Sus scrofa: one gene and its partners. The protein of the gene in region 1 purifies or fractionates together with the protein of each later gene. This does not show direct contact. Links are inferred from orthologs where the notes say so. Each region holds a gene or a part of one and is shown on either strand. Other genes may lie near its edges.

Evidence for each region.
Region 2: the proteins of RABGGTB (region 1) and RAP2C purify together in Homo sapiens (co-immunoprecipitation; 3 studies listed by BioGRID and IntAct, counting the BioPlex papers as one, with this or other methods). This does not show direct contact. The link is inferred for Sus scrofa from reciprocal best matches to the Homo sapiens genes RABGGTB and RAP2C.
Region 3: the proteins of RABGGTB (region 1) and PTP4A2 purify together in Homo sapiens (affinity purification with mass spectrometry; 3 studies listed by BioGRID and IntAct, counting the BioPlex papers as one, with this or other methods). This does not show direct contact. The link is inferred for Sus scrofa from reciprocal best matches to the Homo sapiens genes RABGGTB and PTP4A2.

What each region holds. Positions count from the first base shown.
Region 1 is NC_010448.4:137,530,451-137,536,501, reverse strand, and holds the start of RABGGTB (geranylgeranyl transferase type-2 subunit beta), read left to right. Parts: upstream 1-2,369; 5' UTR 2,370-2,387; coding exon 2,388-2,390; intron 2,391-2,392; exon of another isoform or gene 2,393-2,473; intron 2,474-3,764; coding exon 3,765-3,872; intron 3,873-4,427; coding exon 4,428-4,625; intron 4,626-5,840; coding exon 5,841-5,946; intron 5,947-6,051. UniProt on the Homo sapiens protein: Catalyzes the transfer of a geranylgeranyl moiety from geranylgeranyl diphosphate to both cysteines of Rab proteins with the C-terminal sequence -XXCC, -XCXC and -CCXX, such as RAB1A, RAB3A, RAB5A and RAB7A.
Region 2 is NC_010461.5:108,344,846-108,350,840, reverse strand, and holds the start of RAP2C (ras-related protein Rap-2c), read left to right. Parts: upstream 1-2,408; 5' UTR 2,409-2,522; intron 2,523-3,922; exon of another isoform or gene 3,923-4,011; intron 4,012-4,136; 5' UTR 4,137-4,684; coding exon 4,685-4,957; intron 4,958-5,995. UniProt on the Homo sapiens protein: Small GTP-binding protein which cycles between a GDP-bound inactive and a GTP-bound active form. May play a role in cytoskeletal rearrangements and regulate cell spreading through activation of the effector TNIK.
Region 3 is NC_010448.4:88,428,593-88,434,673, reverse strand, and holds the start of PTP4A2 (protein tyrosine phosphatase type IVA 2), read left to right. Parts: upstream 1-2,345; 5' UTR 2,346-2,391; coding exon 2,392-2,487; intron 2,488-5,521; coding exon 5,522-5,614; intron 5,615-6,081.

The DNA of each region.
Region 1 (6,051 bases):
GGACAAAACATTCCTCATCAGCGGCAATAAATAGCAGCATCCTTATAGCTCCTTCCTGGTTCAGAGGGCTAAAAAAAATTGGCCTTGTCACTGCTAAGTCTCTGGCTATAGCTGTGGTTTGGATTAGAGCCCTGGCCAGGGAAATCTGCAAGCCCAGCCTGAGGCCAAAATCAATCAACCTAGCATTAACATGATTAACTTCTTAGAAGAATTCCAGTTATGGCTCAGCAGAAAGGAAACTGACTAGTATCCATGAGGACACAGGTTTGGTCCCTGGCCTTGCTCAGTGGCTTAAGGATCCGGCATTGCCAGGAGCTGTGGTGTAGGTAGCTCAGATTTGACCCCTAGCCTGGAAACTTCCATATGGCCCTTCTACAGGTATGGACCTAAAAAGAAAAAAAAACCCACAGAAAACCAGCATTTAACTGTGCTTTGACTGTGGGCAGAACAGCTCTCAGAGATTTCCAAGTTGCTCTTCCCAAGTTATAACATCTCAAATTTAACTCTAATAAAAAATTCCATATCTTTCTCAGATTGATATCTTTCTCAGATTGAGTGATTGATTTTTTGGCAGCACCATTTAACAAGATAGACTTTTTTTTTTTTTTTTTTGGTTGTGCCCATGGCATATAGAAATTTCTGGGCCAGGGACCAAACCCACACTGGAGCGGGGACTCAAACTGCTGCAGTGACAAGGCCAGATCCTTAACCTGCTGTGCCATAAAGGAACTTTCAAGGAAGACTTTTTGTGGTCTTTTGTCTATTCAGGGTTGCACCTGCAGCATGTGGTGCTAGGGTCCAATTGGAGGTGTAACTGCTGGTCTACACCACAGCCACAGCAATGTCAGATCCAAGCCACATCTGTGACCTACACCACAGCTCACAGCAATGCAGGATCCTTAACACACTGAGCAAGGCCAGGGATCAAACCTGTGAACCCACAGATAGTAGACAGGTTTGTTAACCACTGAGCCACGACAGGAACTCCAAAGAAGAATTTTTCTGGGGGGAGGGGTCTTTTCTGGGGCCACACTGACAGCATATGGAGGTTCCTAGGCTAGGGGTCGAATCCAAGCTGTAGCTTCAGGCCTAGGCCAGAGCCACAGCAGTGCAAGATCTGAGCCATGTCTGCAGTCTACACCACAGCTCACGGCAATGCCGGATCCTCAACCCACTGAGCGAGGCCAGGGATCAAACCCACAACTTCATGGTTCCACTGAGCCATGACGGGAACTCCCAAGGAATAATTTTTAAGATAAAAATTATTAGGGCTAGAAACATCATCACTTAATGATAAGTGGCTTGACTCACCAGAAATAGATAGTTCTAAACTTAACATGCATTTAGTAATACATGTTATCCTAGCCTCAAACTATACCTGGGGATAGCAATTGAACTAAGAGAGAAATAATGAAATCTATCATCATAGTGGATTCAATATTTTCTCAGTTATTGATAGCTCACACATATCTCTGCGTAAGGAATTCTTCCCCAAATTCTTACTTTTCAGGTTTTTTTTTTTCGTCTTTTGAGGGCCACACCCTTGGCATATGGACGTTCCCACGTTAGGGGTCTAATTGGAGCCATAGCTGCCAGCCTACGCCACAGGCAAGCCAGATCCCAGCGGAGCAAGGTCTGCGACCTACACCACACCTCCAGTGGAGGCAACGCTGGATCCTTAACCCACTGAGCGAAGCCAGGCATATAATCCACAACCTCGTGGTTCCTAGTTGGGTTTGTTTCTGCTTCGCCATGATGGGAACTCCTGAAAAAAAAAAAAATTTAAGAGTAGGTGCCAGTATTTTCTGGTAGGTGCTCAAAATACTTTTAAGGATTAAAGTCCTAAGAAAGCACAGTTACAAATAGCTGCATTAACACACCTAGCAAAGCTGAATTCGATGGAAAGCTTATAAGAAGCATAACGGTGTTTCCTTTTCAAAAACAATCTCCAAATATTGCAAATATTAGAACTTCCTGAAAGAGGAGGGAGTAGGTGAGAGTTAGCTAATAAGAGCTGAATGTGAATATTTATTGCACACGTAATTACGGTGCAACTCTATTTATTACCAGGCATTTCAAAGATCCTCAACAATAAACGATTTCTTAAAAGTTATGCAGATATTTAAACATTACTTAAAACAGTTTTAGATAAAACGGCGGTGTTTAAGGGACAAGAAAACGGGCTTAGAGACTTTAAGCACAGGCAGCGAGGACAGCCATGAGCAGCCGATGGGGTCCTAGAGCAGCCTCGGGATCCCTCTTTCCTTCAGGCGGGAATGTGGTCACCTAAGTCTGGGCGCGGAGGGGACCTGAGAGACGCTTCTGGGCAGGCGCGTGCTGCCTAAATCCGCCCACGAAAGAGCCAAGTTCTCTTTTCGCTGTCAGACATGGTGAGTGTGGACGTGTATTGCATTGCTGTCCGGATGGCTCGGGAGGAGCCTGGGAAGGGTGATATTAAGCATTTTAGTCACCGGTGGGTTGTTTACTAAATATTGGAGAATGGTCGCGTTAAGATAGAGGTCTTGGGAGTATTTTTGAGAGCGGGAGAGAGGGTGAAGTATTATTCAGCGTTTTCTGCAGGCCTTGCATGCGTCGTTGCCGCCTCTGATTTTATTCAGACTTCCTGCTATCGGTCGGGCCTCCTGGTTCAACAACCGGATTTCTTAATTTCCTCCTAAAAACTGGGCAAGTCGGTAGTACCTTTTTCCTTCTATATGTAGGTTGAAGCATATATATATATATATATATATGTATGCGTTAGAATTATTATCCAATGTAATAAATGGAGTAATAAAATTAAAAAAGAATTATTTAAGATCTTTAGAATGATTAGCGGTACGATCTTGTTGACCTAGTAAATTTTAATGGGCAATGGGCTAGACAAGAAATTGACTATTATTTTTTTGTTTTGTTTTGTTTTCTTTTTAGGGCTGCATCCATGGCATAGGAAAGTTACCAGGCTAGGGGTCCAATCAGAACTGTAGCTGCTGGCTTATGATACAGCCACAGCAATGTGGGATCCAGGCCTAATCTGCGACCTACACAACTCGGAGCAGTGCCTGATCCCTAACCCAATGAGGAAGGCCAGAGATCGAACCCACATCCTCATGGATGCTAGTTGGATTCTTTCTGCTGAGCCACAACGGGAACTCTGAGAAATTCACTATTTTATTATTGATAACTGTTGTGACCTACTTCAAATAAAACAGTAAAGTACAGTCTTAGATATAGATCAGAAATGTGGATAACTAGAGCAGCATTCTCGTCCCTTGGGGACTTGTTGCATTTGGGGAAACAGGCTAAAGCTGGAGAAGGTGAGTCTAAAGGGACTGCTTCCTTGATAAATAACCTTTGAGGTATATGGAAGGTGCTTCGAAGTTCCCAGAATTTATACAATTTCTAGAGTTAAACTTCATTAAAGCACTTAACTCAAATTATGGAATAAATAGATTTTTATTTTATTTTGGTGTTCTGTGTGAAAGATAAAGACAGATGAAGGTAGTATTTTTGGGTCGATGATGAGCTGGCATGTATTCTGAATCTAAAGTTGATTAGTACTACTTTAGCTCTAGAATTACTCTGAGACCTGAAAAATACTTGGATCTTTATGAAGGACTTTAGTGCCTTGGTTTTTCTTGGCCAGATAATTTTAAATTGAAAGTTTTCATTTGGCAACACGAAATAAAAAGTTCAGATGTATATTGAACACATGCTCTGGGGTCAAATATTAAGAGATAACTTATGAAATCAATTTATTGTGGAAGGGTACACCGCAGAAGGATGTCATTATCAAGTCAGATGCACCTGACACCCTATTCCTGGAGAAGCATGCAGATTATATTGCATCCTATGGCTCAAAGAAAGATGATTACGTATGTATGCTTTTATGTTGAAAAGTTTATACTCTTAAAGATGTAGACCATTCTGTAAATAGATCAGTATGGACCATGTTGGTATCTAACTCCTGCGTGCCAAAGCCTGAAGCTGTATCCTTGAGTATAGTGAATGCACCTTTGGATATCTGTTGAGGGACCATGGGAATTAACCATGTTTCTTACTTTGGTAGGCAAAGTAGATTCCCATTCGGCCCAGATCTGTATGAATTATGAAGTACGGACTAGATTACTATTTTTGTAGTTTAGACAATATTTTCAAGGTCAATGATGTGTTGGCATGTATTACCTGAGTTTACAGTGATGTGTAGTAACACTAAAGCTCTAGAATTACTCTGAGACCTTGAAAAAGTTCAGCCCTGAAGAATGGCTTTCCAAGTTTTCCTCTCTGGGACAGTCTTAGAAAAAATTAATGAACAACTTAATTGGAAGTAGATATTTTACCGGTGTAACAGTGGCTGTAGGGCTTTGTGTGTTCAGTATCTAAGCTGGCATCAATTCAAACTAACACAGTAAAGTAATTCTATATTTTAGGAATACTGTATGTCTGAATATCTGAGAATGAGTGGAATCTATTGGGGTCTGACCGTAATGGATCTCATGGGACAACTACACCGTATGAATAGAGAAGAAATTTTGGCATTTATTAAGTCGTGTCAACACGAGTGTGGTGGAATAAGTGCTAGCATTGGACATGATCCGCATCTTTTATATACTCTTAGTGCTGTCCAGGTAAATACTAAAAACTAAGCAGCCATGATAGTTTATTCTCTTACCTGAGAGTGGGGAAATTGAAACTAGGTATTAGGAAGGTGAGAGAAACCAGTATCTTTTCATATGACATCTATTCTACAAGGTCAATGATGTGATGGCATGTATTAGCTGAACCCGAAGTTGATGTAACTCTAAAATTACACTGAGACCTTGGTAAAGTATTTATTTTCAGTATATGTAAATATTTGAGAAATCGTCAGTGGACGTGTTTTTGTTTTAAGCAAGAAAAATCTTTGTTTAAGCCATGGAACTCTGGTTTATTAGCATATTGTATCCTATCCTGAAAGATATAACCTAAGTCTTATAATAGAAACTAGCATTTCTCAAAGAAAGTAGTATTTTCTTTTTTTTTTTTTTGGTCTTTATAGGGTTACACCCACAGCATGTGGAGCTTCCCAGGCTAGGGGTCAAATTAGAGCTACAGCTTTCAGTCTACGGCACAGGTACAGCAACTTAGGATCTGAGTGACATCTGCCACCTATACCACAGCCCACGGCAACACCCGATCCTTAACCCACTGAGCGAGGCCAGGGATTGAATCTGAAACCATGGTTCCTAGTCAGATTCTTTTCTGCTGTGCCACAACAGGAACTCCAGCAAGTAGTATTTTCTACAGAATTTCATGTGGAACATATTCAAAGAGAATAACATAACGGATTATATAAATTGGCCAAAGCCCGTTTACCATATGTGTAGAAGCCTCCTTCATTCAGCTATTTCTTATGTTGCAAAACCTTCCTGCATGGCATTTGATTCCCTCCAAGGCTGGCTATTTCCTCCCTTGCTATTCTCATCTTGCTTTATTTCTGGCAATACAAGATGCCTGTGGTTCCCTGCATGTACTCTGCCATTTCACCACTGTGCTCTTTTCCATGAAGTTTAAATTGTGGTATTAGTGAAGATCACAAAGATTTAAAGTCTGTATACATTAGTTTATATGAATCTTGGAGTGCTGAGTTGACAGTTTGTAAGTAAAAAATAATACTTTGTGGTTAAAGGGTTGTATTGATAATACCTGTAATTTTATTGCATAGTAGAAGATAAGTGCATGTTTGAAAAGAGTTCACAATGCTTAGGGACATGCTTAACAACTTAAGGTAGTTGAGGAAGAACATTAGAACAAACTTAGCAGTGTTGAAGAGGTGTATTTACTTTGGTTTGTTTTTATTACAGATCCTTACTCTTTATGATAGTATTAATGTTATTGATGTAAATAAAGTTGTGGAATATGTTCAGAGTCTACAAAAAGAAGATGGTTCTTTTGCTGGAGATATTTGGGGTAATGTTCCTTTAATTCATTGCATCCAAAATACCAATGTAAAAATGTCCTGCTTTGGTGTATATCATAGAAATAAGCTTTGTTACAAATTCTAAAGTATGATGA
Region 2 (5,995 bases), on another chromosome or scaffold:
TCACGCTATGGTTTAAAACTCAGCTGCATTCTTGAAAATGATCATCCGAGCAATAATTACTTTGGGAGTGGAGGTTGAGAATGGCATTAAAGCAAACGTTCTGAATCTCAAGGGCACACTCTCCGGAGAAGTGACCCCTCCCCCAACCTGGAGCCTTGGGAGTGGAAAGTTATTATTCGCACAGTTTACATGTATTTAGCAGTTAGTGCTTGGAAGGCTAAGTGCTTTGAATGGATTGGCACATTGGTACTTCAAAGGAGCCCTATGAGTTGGATACTGCTATTATGCCCAACTTTGGAGATCTAGCTGGCAAGGGGCAACGTTAGGACTGTCTGACTGACGTGCAGATTCCTTGTACAATACCAGCCTGCATTTGTCAGTCCTGAAAATACCCTAAAGCAAATGATGATAGCAGTAAAATGAGGCAACAATTAGTAATGCCTGGGGTGAGGTTGTAAGGAAACAACACTTGTCTGTGTTGGCTATACTGCCTTGGTAGGGAATGTGAATTGGTGTGATCTTTTCAAAGGACAATTCAGCAATATTTATGAGAAGGATTTTAACATAAATGTAAAAAAATTTCATAAGCGGAAAAAAGCAAGGTGCAGAATGCTGTGTATAGTAAGATCAATTTTGTATTAATTTTTAAAATACATATAGAAGATGGCTTCATATGCCAGCATATAAGTATTTTTTTCTGGGAAAGGAAACACAAGAAGACTTTAACAATAAACACCTTTGGAAAGAATAACTGAGTTATTTTTGTGCTGTTTGGAGATACTTGGGCTTTTAAAGCTCTGTTTTTTTTTTCCTCCGTGTTTGCTGTTCTTAAAAAAAAAAAAACCTTTGTTAAATCTTTAAAATAAAAACCAAATAGCTAGCATTTCTCGATGGTTCATAATGAGCAAGGGACTGTGCTAAGCATTTTACATGTAATAATTCATTACATTCCCACGGTAAATGATTAGCTCCATTTTCCAGGTGAGGAGTTTGAGGTTCAGAGGAGTGAAATCACTTGCTCGAGGTCCCACAGCTAGGAGGTGGAGGAGTTGCCCTTGAAAGGCCTGTCTGCCTTGCTTCGGGGCCCATGGCTCTCAACTGCTGGGCTGTCCTCTTCTAATTGGTGTTTATACTCTCATTGCCTAATAAAAGTAAACGGGTGAACAACTGGAGTCTAATGAGATAATGTATGTGAAAATACTTTTCTAAGTATAGAGATGTTTGGGAGGACAGGATGGGCAGGAGGAGGGAGTTTAAATTGGGCAGACCTGCCCACTGACCCCAGACAGTCAGGATATTGGGGGGGGGTGGAGGAAACGATGAGCAACATTTTATATTTCTTCTCTAAAAATATTATAAAATTATATTTATTCCTCTTTTCCCCAGTAATACCTGATCATGGCTTAGAAATTAAAATGATATGGAGAAATCAAAGTCCTTTCAGAATACCCCTCACCAATAATTAATGCCTTTGTTTCAGATTTTAATGGCTATGTAATTACATATTGCACACACTCACATATTTTACATAAATGGGAGCAACTATCTCTTTGCTCAGCATCTAACTTTTTTCATCCTCACAATATACCTTGACCGTCTTTTCATAACAGCACTTACAAATCTACTTTTTCTCTTTTAAATAGCTGCATGGTCTCCTATTTTGTGAGTGTGTGTGTGTGCGCGTGCATGATTTTTTAAATCATCTAGTGAAGGATGTTTAGGTGACTTTCGAGTGTTTCCAAGTGTGTGTGTGTACATTATTTTTTACATCGTCTATCAAAGGACATTTAGGTTACTTGCAAGTGTTTCCGTGTGTGTGTGTACACACATTACTTTTTTAAATCATCTGTTGAAGGAGACTTAAGTTACTTCCAAGTGTGTGCTTTCCTAAAATGCTGCTGTAATGAATACACTTTCTAAGAAAGTTTAGAAGGGTCATCAGAATGAGTGTGACATTTGCCAATTCTGTAGCCAATAAGAGTGTCCCAGTAGGACTCTGTACTTCGGTAAGGAGTATGTTTCACTGTGTGGAGAAACAAAGAATTCTCTCCAAAATAGTTTGGCCAACACATTCAGAGATATTAGAGTTGCCAACAAGTGGGACCACCTCAAAAAGAAGAGCAGCCTGTTTTGACAGTTTAGTGACAGAGCACAGACTTGCCACAATTGCCCAACACTAATTGCTGGATCAGAGGAGGAATTTCCAGACTCAGTTCCAAGCAGGGCTGGTACAGGGCTATGGATTTCCCCCCCCCCATCCCCCCCCCCCCCAGACAGTCTGGAGACAGCTAGACAGGGAGATGGGCAGCAGAGCTCCAAATCCGGCAACAGCACGTGTGGAAGGAGCAGTGACCTATGGGGAAGACTCATAATTCATAGACCAAACCTCTTCCAGCAGAGGGCAGTGCCTCAGATATCAGGCGGGACGCGGGCCAGCTGGAGCCAGAGCTGGGAACTTCGCTGGACAGATTGCACCAGCCCTAGGCTGAGGAGAAAGTGAACGTAACTGTCCCTTGGATACTGTAAGTGACATTGGGGAGCACCCAGGGAGAGACAGTGGGATTTCACACGACTGTAATTTGCCTGTTTTCTAATGTTACACAATTTGGGTTTGGTAACAAATCCCTTTTGATACAGTCAGGCCATTAAGGCTTCCACGTAAGGGATTTGGGGTCGCTTTAACTCGACTGGTCACTGACTTTCAGGCGTCGGGGTGCATGCTAGAATCAGAAAAGGAGTGACATTCCTAAAATATAACCTAGGCTTCTGACCCTGGGGCTCTGTGGATCGGACACAAAGTTTACAAATAGAAAGTTAGCAGAGGGTAAGATATGTAAAAAGTAACAATTTTATCTAAAAATAGAAACTTAGTGGTTAGCACTAAGTCCTCTGCTTTTGAATTTCAAAGACTTAAAACAAACTTTAACTTGGAAGAGCCAGCCATGCAAATTGCTGTGCCTGCAGATAATGAAAAGATTCAAAGAAGTTAGCGTGCAGGCCTAAACAGTTTCCAATCAACTCTTCCCCGCTGCGAAGCCTGGGGACTCCAAAAGGGACAAAGCTGAGTTAGAGTCCCATAAAGGCTACTCCTAATCCCTTTGGTTTTCGAGCCTGGCGATAAGAAAGAAAGGAGTGGCTTCGGCATTTGCTGGTGGAGTCAAGGCAGATTTACCGGATGATAAAAGTACCGAGTGTGTGTGCGTTAACTGTCAGGCACAGCTAAATAAAACACACCACATATGAAATCCGAGCTATTCGTGAAGTCGAAGGCTAATGTGCACGCGTTTCTTAGAAAAATAGCAAGTGCATGAAAATACCAGCAAAGAGCATCAACTTTCTCGGCCGTTTTATTTTCCCTGCGACTTCTGGTCCAGGGATGATAGGCGTTGTGCGGATCTTTAGCTCCGCCAACCAGCGGATCAAGTCCTCAGGCCGGGCCGGGGGCTGCTGAGACTCCTAGGGGCTTCCGCGGGCTCGGGGGTGGGACTGTCCGCAGCAGCAGCGGCAGCAGCAGCAGCAGCAGCAGCAGCAGGAACAGCAGTTGCGGGCAGGCAGAGAAAGGAAGGGCGCCGGAGGTTCTCGGACAGGCCCTTTGCCAAGGCCGTAGCCCCGACCCGAAACCGTCCTGGGCCGACTCGCTCAGCAGGGCGCGGCCCCAGCGCCACCCGGCTCGCCCCGGGAGAGGTGGGACTTTCCCCACCGGAAGTGATCCCGTCCCGTCTCAGGGAACTGGGGCACCTCCACCAGTGTGTCAGGGAAACCCTTCCGGGTGTGTGCTGGGGGTGGGGGGGTGGGGGGAGGGTGAGAAAAAAAAAAAAAAAAAAAAGAGGTGGGTTCGCCTGGAGTCCCAGCGGCCGCCGCCGCTGCCGCCGCCGCCGCCGGACGGCCCCCGCCCCTTTCCCCTCCGCGAGCCGCAGCGCAGGGGCGGCGGTGAGACCGAGGAGCCGGCCAGTGGCCATGGCCTTGGCGTGACACAGCCTCCCGGGCGGCCGGGCGGGTGCGGACGGCAGGGTAAGCGGGGGCGGCCGGGCCCGGGTGGGAGCCGGGGGAGGCGGCCGCCCGGGCTGCCCGACGGGGGCGGGCGGGGGTCCGGCGGGTAACGCGCGCCCTCTCCGCCCCCCACCCCCCCATCACAGGCCGGACGACGCCCGCGGGAGCCGCGGCCCAGAGACCCGCCCGGGCGGCAGCGACTGGAGCGGAGCCCACAGGCCTGGGCTGGCTCGGCGGCGCGAGCAGGAAGCGGGGTCCCTGGGCCCCTTTGTGTGAAGGGCGGGGGAGGGGCGCGGGGCAGCCCCGGGCCGCGGGCTCCTCGGACGCCCGCCTTCCGCGGGGGGCCCCCCGTCTGTCCTGCGGCGCCCACCCCTTCCCTCCCGGGGCGGGGGGCGCGTGTCGCCTCCCCAGCCTCCCAGCTTTTCGGGGCTCGCCTTCTCCCCACGCCCCCTGCCTGGGCTCCGGTTCCTATAGGAAGGGCATTACCATCCCATCCCCACCCACCCCGACACTTCGCTCTTTCCCCTCCCCCTCCTTTAACTTCCTCTTCTTCCCCCGTCGGGCCCTCGGCTGCTCTGCGCTCTCCTCCCGGGTTCGCAGATTTCCGCCCACCTTCCGCCTCCCCGAGCCGCGCCGCCGCGAGCGGGGTGTTATTTTTCCCTCCCTCTGGTAGGAGTTGGTGAAGGAGAGACTCATGCGGGAGTACAAGGTAGTGGTGTTAGGGAGCGGAGGGGTTGGCAAATCTGCCCTTACTGTGCAGTTTGTCACCGGGACTTTCATTGAGAAATATGACCCCACCATTGAAGATTTCTACCGCAAAGAGATCGAAGTGGACTCTTCCCCCTCCGTGCTGGAAATTCTGGACACCGCAGGAACTGAGCAGTTTGCCTCCATGAGAGATCTCTACATCAAAAACGGCCAAGGTTTCATCCTGGTTTATAGTCTGGTTAATCAACAGTCTTTTCAGGTAACCAAGTCTTGTAATTTGTTAGAAGGGGGTGTGGTAAACTACATTTACTTCTGGTTTGCTTGCGTAAATGACTGTGTTTTGCTTTTGAAAGTTAGACATGGCGCATTTTTGAGGTTTCTCCTGGCACGGAAAAGCATCGAGTTGTTTCTATAGCGAGGACTAAAGGCACTACCGTTCACAAATATTTTAAAGTTATTTTCGAGTGAAAGAGAAGTGAAAAAGACATGTCAGCCAGTGTATATTTAGCCTGGCATATAACCATCTGAAGTTGCTCGTTCACCTCACCAGGTCTTGGTTAATGTACTCAGCAGAACAACGTTTCAAAGATAATCTCGGGCAGATAGAGCACTTTGGAAAGAAAATTATTTGGAGCCGATTATCTGTTGCACAGATAACTCCTCTGCGTCTACGTCCCTTCCTCCCCTCTGTTCTCACCTAAGTCTCTCAACCAGATTTCTCTATCTTAGTGCTGCAAGATGAAGAACTCAAGACCTGCCTTCTAGGCATTTTACTTACTTGGGGCATGTGAAGGGAAGTTACTCATTGAAAAGACTGGTACCTAGAATTAATAACAAACACAAATCTAGAACAGCTCTCCTTTTTTGCAGTTCTTCCAAACTGTTTCTGATAACATTGACTCTATTTGTAGAGAATATGTGGATCTGGGGACACTGAGCAAGGGCAGATTTCTAACCCCTGGCTGGGTGGCCAAACTGGAGGTGATCCTCTTTCTTTGGCAAATCTGTCCTGTCCTTCGCTGGGAGACAGACTGGAGGTTTAACATTATTTTAGGAGATGCGATAAATGTTGCTATTTATTCTTGAAAATAAATAACCTCATATTGACCCATTATATTGACCTCCATTGATTTAGGAAATGGATGGTTTTTTTCTGCGTTTAAAGGTACGCACTTAATGTTGCTTACTTAAGAGACATTTAGTGCTTTGTCCAATCCAATGTGCTAATTCCACTTTTCTTAGTGTTTTAACTTAAAGTACCATAGTGAACTTTTCCACTAACCAGAAATAGCAACTT
Region 3 (6,081 bases), about 49 Mb from region 1:
TCCAAGCCGAGTCTGTGACCTACACCACAGCTCACGGCAATGCCAGATCCTTAACCCACCGACCAAGGCCAGGGATTGAACCCTCAACCTCATGGTTCCTAGACAGATTCGTTAACCACTGCCACGATGGGAATTCCCTATTTCAGTTTTACACTTGTGTCTGTGGTAATATAGTCAAAAGTATCTAATTTATAAAATAAAATGCCATAAGAATCTCATAAAAAGAAGACTTGAAGAGAGATGATTAGGCTTGAAAGTTTGAGGCTTAGATTTGTCTTTATCTGTTTCAGTTTTTTTTTTTTTTTTTGTCTTTTTAGGGCCATACCCACAGCATATGGAGGTTCCTAGGCTAGGGGTCCAATCAGAGCTGTAGCTGCTGGCCTACACCACAGCCACAGCAATGCCAGATCCGAACCACATCTGTGACCTACACCACAGCTCATGGCAACTCTGGATCCCTGACCCACTGATCGAGGCCAGGAATGGAACCCGCATCCTCATGGATACTAGTTGGGTTTGTTAACTGCTGAGCCACGATGGGAACTCCTATCTGTTTCAGTTTTTTTTTCTTGCAAGTGCTTCTGTAGTTACTGTCTTTCATCAATTTGGTCACAGTCATCTTTTTTAGAGTTCTTAAATGAGCATTTATTGATGGCTTAGTTCAAAGAGGCAGGTAAAAGAAGTGAGACCTTGTTCCTGTTTTCAGAGGAATATATGATTATGTTGACACTGCCTGAGCCAGCTATACAGGCCTAAAATAATATTAAAATTTCTGCCACTTCAGTTTCTTGCCTTGTTTTTGGTAGGGATTAATATTTGGACAGGAGGATGCTGTGTGTATCATTGACCTTTAAATGCTTTTGGACTCTTTGAGGTAGTGATGTGAGAAATGGTAAGAAGGTAAACCTGACGAGAAATGAGAGAATGGGAATCATACATTAATTGAGTCAGCTGGCATTTTGGTACCTTGGAAAAAATGCAGGACTAACAGAAGACTTGGGTTTGAATTTGGGCTCAACTAACTTACTTACCTTAGATAAATCACTTTTCTCATTCCTCATAGGTAGTAAAAACTGCTCAGAATTGTGAGGAAAAAAGACAACTTTTTGAAAGTACTTTATGAACTGATGTAATAATTGGGGCCAATGCATATATTTTGAATAGAAAGAATTAAATCCTCAAAGGAGAATTTTGGTAAATGATCTTTCAGCCATTTACAGATGGGTATGATTTTATGCAAAGTACTTAACCATCAAAATAGAAAAATAAGATCACTGTGAACTTTATGAAAAAGAGTCCATGGGGAAAGCCTTCTCGAAGTATTTTTTAATCATTTAAAAATGACTTAAAATGGGAGTTCCCTTGTGGCACAGTGGTTGTTAAGGATTCCATGTTGTCACTATGGCAGCTCAGGTCGATATTGTGGCGCAGGTTCAATACCTGACTCAAGAACTTCCATATACTGCAAGTGCGGCCAAAAAAAAAAAAAAAAAAGATATAAAATGAATTTAGAAATTCAGTCATTTTAAAATGATAGAAACAATCTTATTAGTATGGAAACTTTATTGAACCTCATTTTGAAAAAAGACATACTTTACTTTTGAATCTATTTTAAAACTCTTGGTGTATGCTTTTATCCTATTCTCGATAGATGTCAGTAGTTTAGAGTTGGTGCTATGTCAGATGTCTTTGGGCTCATAAAGAATGTATTCTTGACTTTGGGTATTGTGTTTACTATGCTGTCAACCTCCAGTTCATTTAACTTATGCTTTTCTCCTCCAGGTTTTTCGTTGGAATATACGTTGCACATTTATGGCGATTCTGAGCGTGAGGGCAGACTTCTGCCAGGCTCAGCACAGCATTTCCGCTGACAAGTGAGCTTGGAGGTTCAATGTGCCATAATTAACATTGCCTTGAAGACTCTGGACACCGAGACTGGCCTCAGAAATAGTTGGCTTTTTTTTTTTTTTTTTTTTAATTGCAAGCATATTTCTTTTAATGACTCCAGTAAAATTAAGCATCAAGTAAACAAAAGTGGAAAGCGACCTACACTTTTAACTTGTCTCACTAGTGCCTAAATGTAGTAAAGGCTGCTTAAGTTTTGTATGTAGTTGGATTTTTTTGGAGTCCGAAGGTATCCATCAGCAGACATCGAGGCCCAGATTGAATTTGGATTCAAGTGGATTCTAAATACTTCTGCTTATCTTGAAGAGAGAAGCTTCTTAAAGAATAAACAAGTTGAATAGAGAGAACACTGATTGATAATAGGCATTTTAGTGGTCTTTTTAATGTTTTCTGCTGTGAAACATTTCAAGATTTATTGATTTTTTTTTTTTTTTCATTTTCCCCATCACTTTCACACACGCACACTCACACTTTTTATTTGCCATAATGAACCGTCCAGCCCCTGTGGAGATCTCCTATGAGAACATGCGTTTTCTGATAACCCACAACCCTACCAATGCTACCCTCAACAAGTTCACAGAGGTAAGATTGTAGCATGGTCTATCTTTTGGATTGATTTATAGGTAAAATCCCATTAAAGATTAAAAACCATTGTAAAGAAATCTGTGATTAGGGTGTGGATGGTCATTTGATCAATCTTTGAATTGAATTGAATTAGTTACAACAGATTTTTAAAAGAATGTTTAAGGAAATTGGGGAGATCTTAGAGATTACTTAGTACTGTGTTTTTTTCCTTATATCCTTTCAACATTATTACCATTTCTTTTGTTATGCTTTAATATTAAAGATAATTAATATTGAACGCTTAGTAACACCAGCACTACAATAAGCAGTTTTATGCATTATATCATTTACTCCTAATAACCCTATGAGGTTGAGGTATGGGTACTATTATTATTTATATCCTATAAATGAGGAAACTGAGGGTCACAGTGATTTAGCAGTTTGTCTAAAGGCATGCAGTATGTGGTAGAACTATCTCTGACACTGAAGTCTATTTCTACCTCACATGTTCTAAAACCACTTTTGATGAAAAGCTACCCTAGAATTACGTAGCAGTAGTAACCATCATGTACAAGGGTTCAGAAACCTAGGGGAAGGAAAGGTATTAGAGGTAGGTGTTTTTTTTTGTTTTTTTTTTTTTCTTTTCTTTTCTTTTCTTTTTAGTGCTGCACTCGCGGCATATGGAGGGTCCCAGGCTAGGGGTTGAATTGGAGCTGTAGCTGCTGGCCTACACCACGGCCATAGCAGTGCCAAATCTGAGCCGTGTCTGTGACCTACACCATAGCTTATGGCAACGCCAGATCCTTAACCCACTGAGGGAGGCCAGGGATTGAACCTGCAACCTCATGGTTCCTAGTCTTGGATTCATTTCTGCTGCGCCACAATGGGAATTCCTTAGAGGTAGCATTTTTTGGTCAGATCTTGAATTTTTTTCTATTGGTAGTAGTAAGGAAATTTTTGTACTTAAACATTTGAATGTTAGCTTTTTAATCATTCTCAAGTTTTTCAGTCTCAGTGTGATTTCTGTTGATGTATTTATGGAGGAGACTTAGAGAGCTAGATGAACTCCTAGAGATTCTAAATCTATCCTTCTCACTTGACATATGGCAGAAAACTGAGTTCAGAAGAGGTTTTGACTTGCGGAAGATCACAGATATTTACCATAAAAAATTCTGCCATAACCTTTCAGTGAACAGCTACTGTGGAGTTCTTTTAATGGGCTTTTATTTGTAGTTAAAAACACTTTTTAAATTCCTTACTCAATATATAATAACTTGAGTTTCTAAGAAAGTCTTTATAAGAAAATCTTTCTGTGAAAAGGAAAGTCCTTTAGCAATTAAAATAAACTTGTCTCTTTAGGTAACCAAATGATGACGCTTCTTGTAGGATATCACTGTTGCTACTTATTTATACTTTTAATTCTCTGAGCTTCTTAACTTTGTGTACACAGTGTACAAGTGGTTCCAGGCCTTTATGCCCTCAGGTTGTTCAGTCACCTTTAAGCCTGGCTGAATTACGTGATACTATTTTCAGCCTGTGGATTCCTTGGTCATAGACTCCTGCAACTATAAAAAGATGTTGGTGGCCCCTTGAAGTTAGGTAGTTACTGGATCAGGCATTACTGTAGGACAATTTAAAGGAGCAAGGCGTCTGGCTATAACTGTGTTAGTTGGCTTTGTAATATAATATCACTTTTCCCCCCTTTTTTGGCCTCCCTGTAGCATATGGAGGTCCCGGGCCAGGGGTCAGATATGAGCCACAGCTGTGACCTAAGCCACAGCTGCAGCAATGCTGGATCCTTAATCCACTGTGTTGGGCTGGGGAATCAAACCTGTGTCCCACTGCTCCCAAGATGCTGCTGATCATGTTGTGCCACAGCAGGAACTCCATAATACCACTTTTTAATCTTAATTTCTGAATTACTTTTACTTGTTTCTTTAAATTAAAGCGGTTAACTACTTAGTATATAAAATAACAGAAGGTACAAATAAAAGACAATTTAAAATACTTAATTGTTAATACCTGGCTTTTACACGTTTTTATTTGTATATATGGATATATATAGATAGATAGGTAGGATCACACTGTATTGAAAAAAAATTTTTCTCCCGGAGTTCCCGTCGTGGCACAGTGGTTAACGAATAACCTCATGGTTAACCTCATGGACTAGGAACCATGAGGTTGTGGGCTCAATCCCTGGCCTTGCTCAGTGGGTTAAGGATCCGGCGTTGCCATGGGCTGTGGTGTAGGCTGGCAGCTACAGCTCCGATTAGACCCCTAGCCCGGGAACCTCCATATGCCACGGGAGCGGCCCAAGAAATGGCAAAAAAGACAAAAAAAAAAAAAAAAAATTTCTCCCAACCCCTCATTTTTTTTGTAGCTGTCACAGTTCTCTGTATGGAAATGCTGTACTTTCTTTAACCATTCAGCTATTTTTGGACCATTTATGTTTCTAGCTTTTTATCATCCAAACAACCTCTGTTGAAACATGCTGGTACCTAAATCTTTGTATATATCTTTAATTATTTCACTAGTATAAATTCCCAGAAGTAGAATTTCTAGGTCAAAGTGTGTGTGCTTTTAAAGTTTTTGTGTTATGCTACCAAATTGCCCTTTATAAAGGTGGGTTCTAATGATTCTTCCACTGTTATTGGAAGAGTGTCCATTATATATGTTGTTACAATGAGAATGATTTTGATCTTTGTCTAAGAATCAGACCTCCCTTCAGTTTACAAGAGTATATTTTTAAAGCTTTGATTGCAATTCTTAAAAAGTTTCATGGGAGTTCCTGTTGTGGCTCATGGAAATGAACCCGACTAGTATCCATGAGGATACAAGTTCGATCCCTGGCCTCACTCAGTGGGATAAGGATCCAGCAACAGCTGTGGTGTAGGTTGCAGATGTGGCTTGGATCTGGTATTGCTGTGGTGTTGACTGGCAGCTGTAGCTCTGATTCGACCCCTAGCCTGGGAACTTCCATATGCTTCACCTGTGGCCCTGAAAAACAAAACAAAACAAAACAAAATTTCCTTATGTTTGTTTTTCTTTAAAGGAACTTAAGAAGTATGGAGTGACAACTTTGGTTCGAGTTTGTGATGCTACATATGATAAAGCACCAGTTGAAAAGGAAGGAATCCACGTTCTAGTGAGTGTGTAGTGTTTTAATTTTTCACTACAGACAAGTTGTACCTTTTAACCATAAATATGTTTAAAATTTGGCAGTCAGAGTTTGCTTTCTAAACTTGTAGGAGATACAGTGATTTTAGCAATCTATTAAAATTCCTTTGGATTACCAGTTTTTTTTCATTTGTGCCCTTAATGTGTAAAGTATTTTCACCAAATAAAAAGCAAAATTTAGTGCATACTTAGTTCAAGAAAATCGAAATTTCATTTTGTTTTCTCTAGGAAGTTAATACAATATTTGCCATTTGTTTCTAGGCTACTAGTTTGAATATAACTGAAAGTAATTTCCATGAGATGTTCTTAAATCACATGGAAATATTCTCTCTGACTTAGCAAGTACAAATTGGTTACTTACTATTTTGTGGATAATTTATAGAGCACAAAAAGGTGGGAGAAGAAGATAAGAAGAGAAAGGGGTAAGGCACTTTG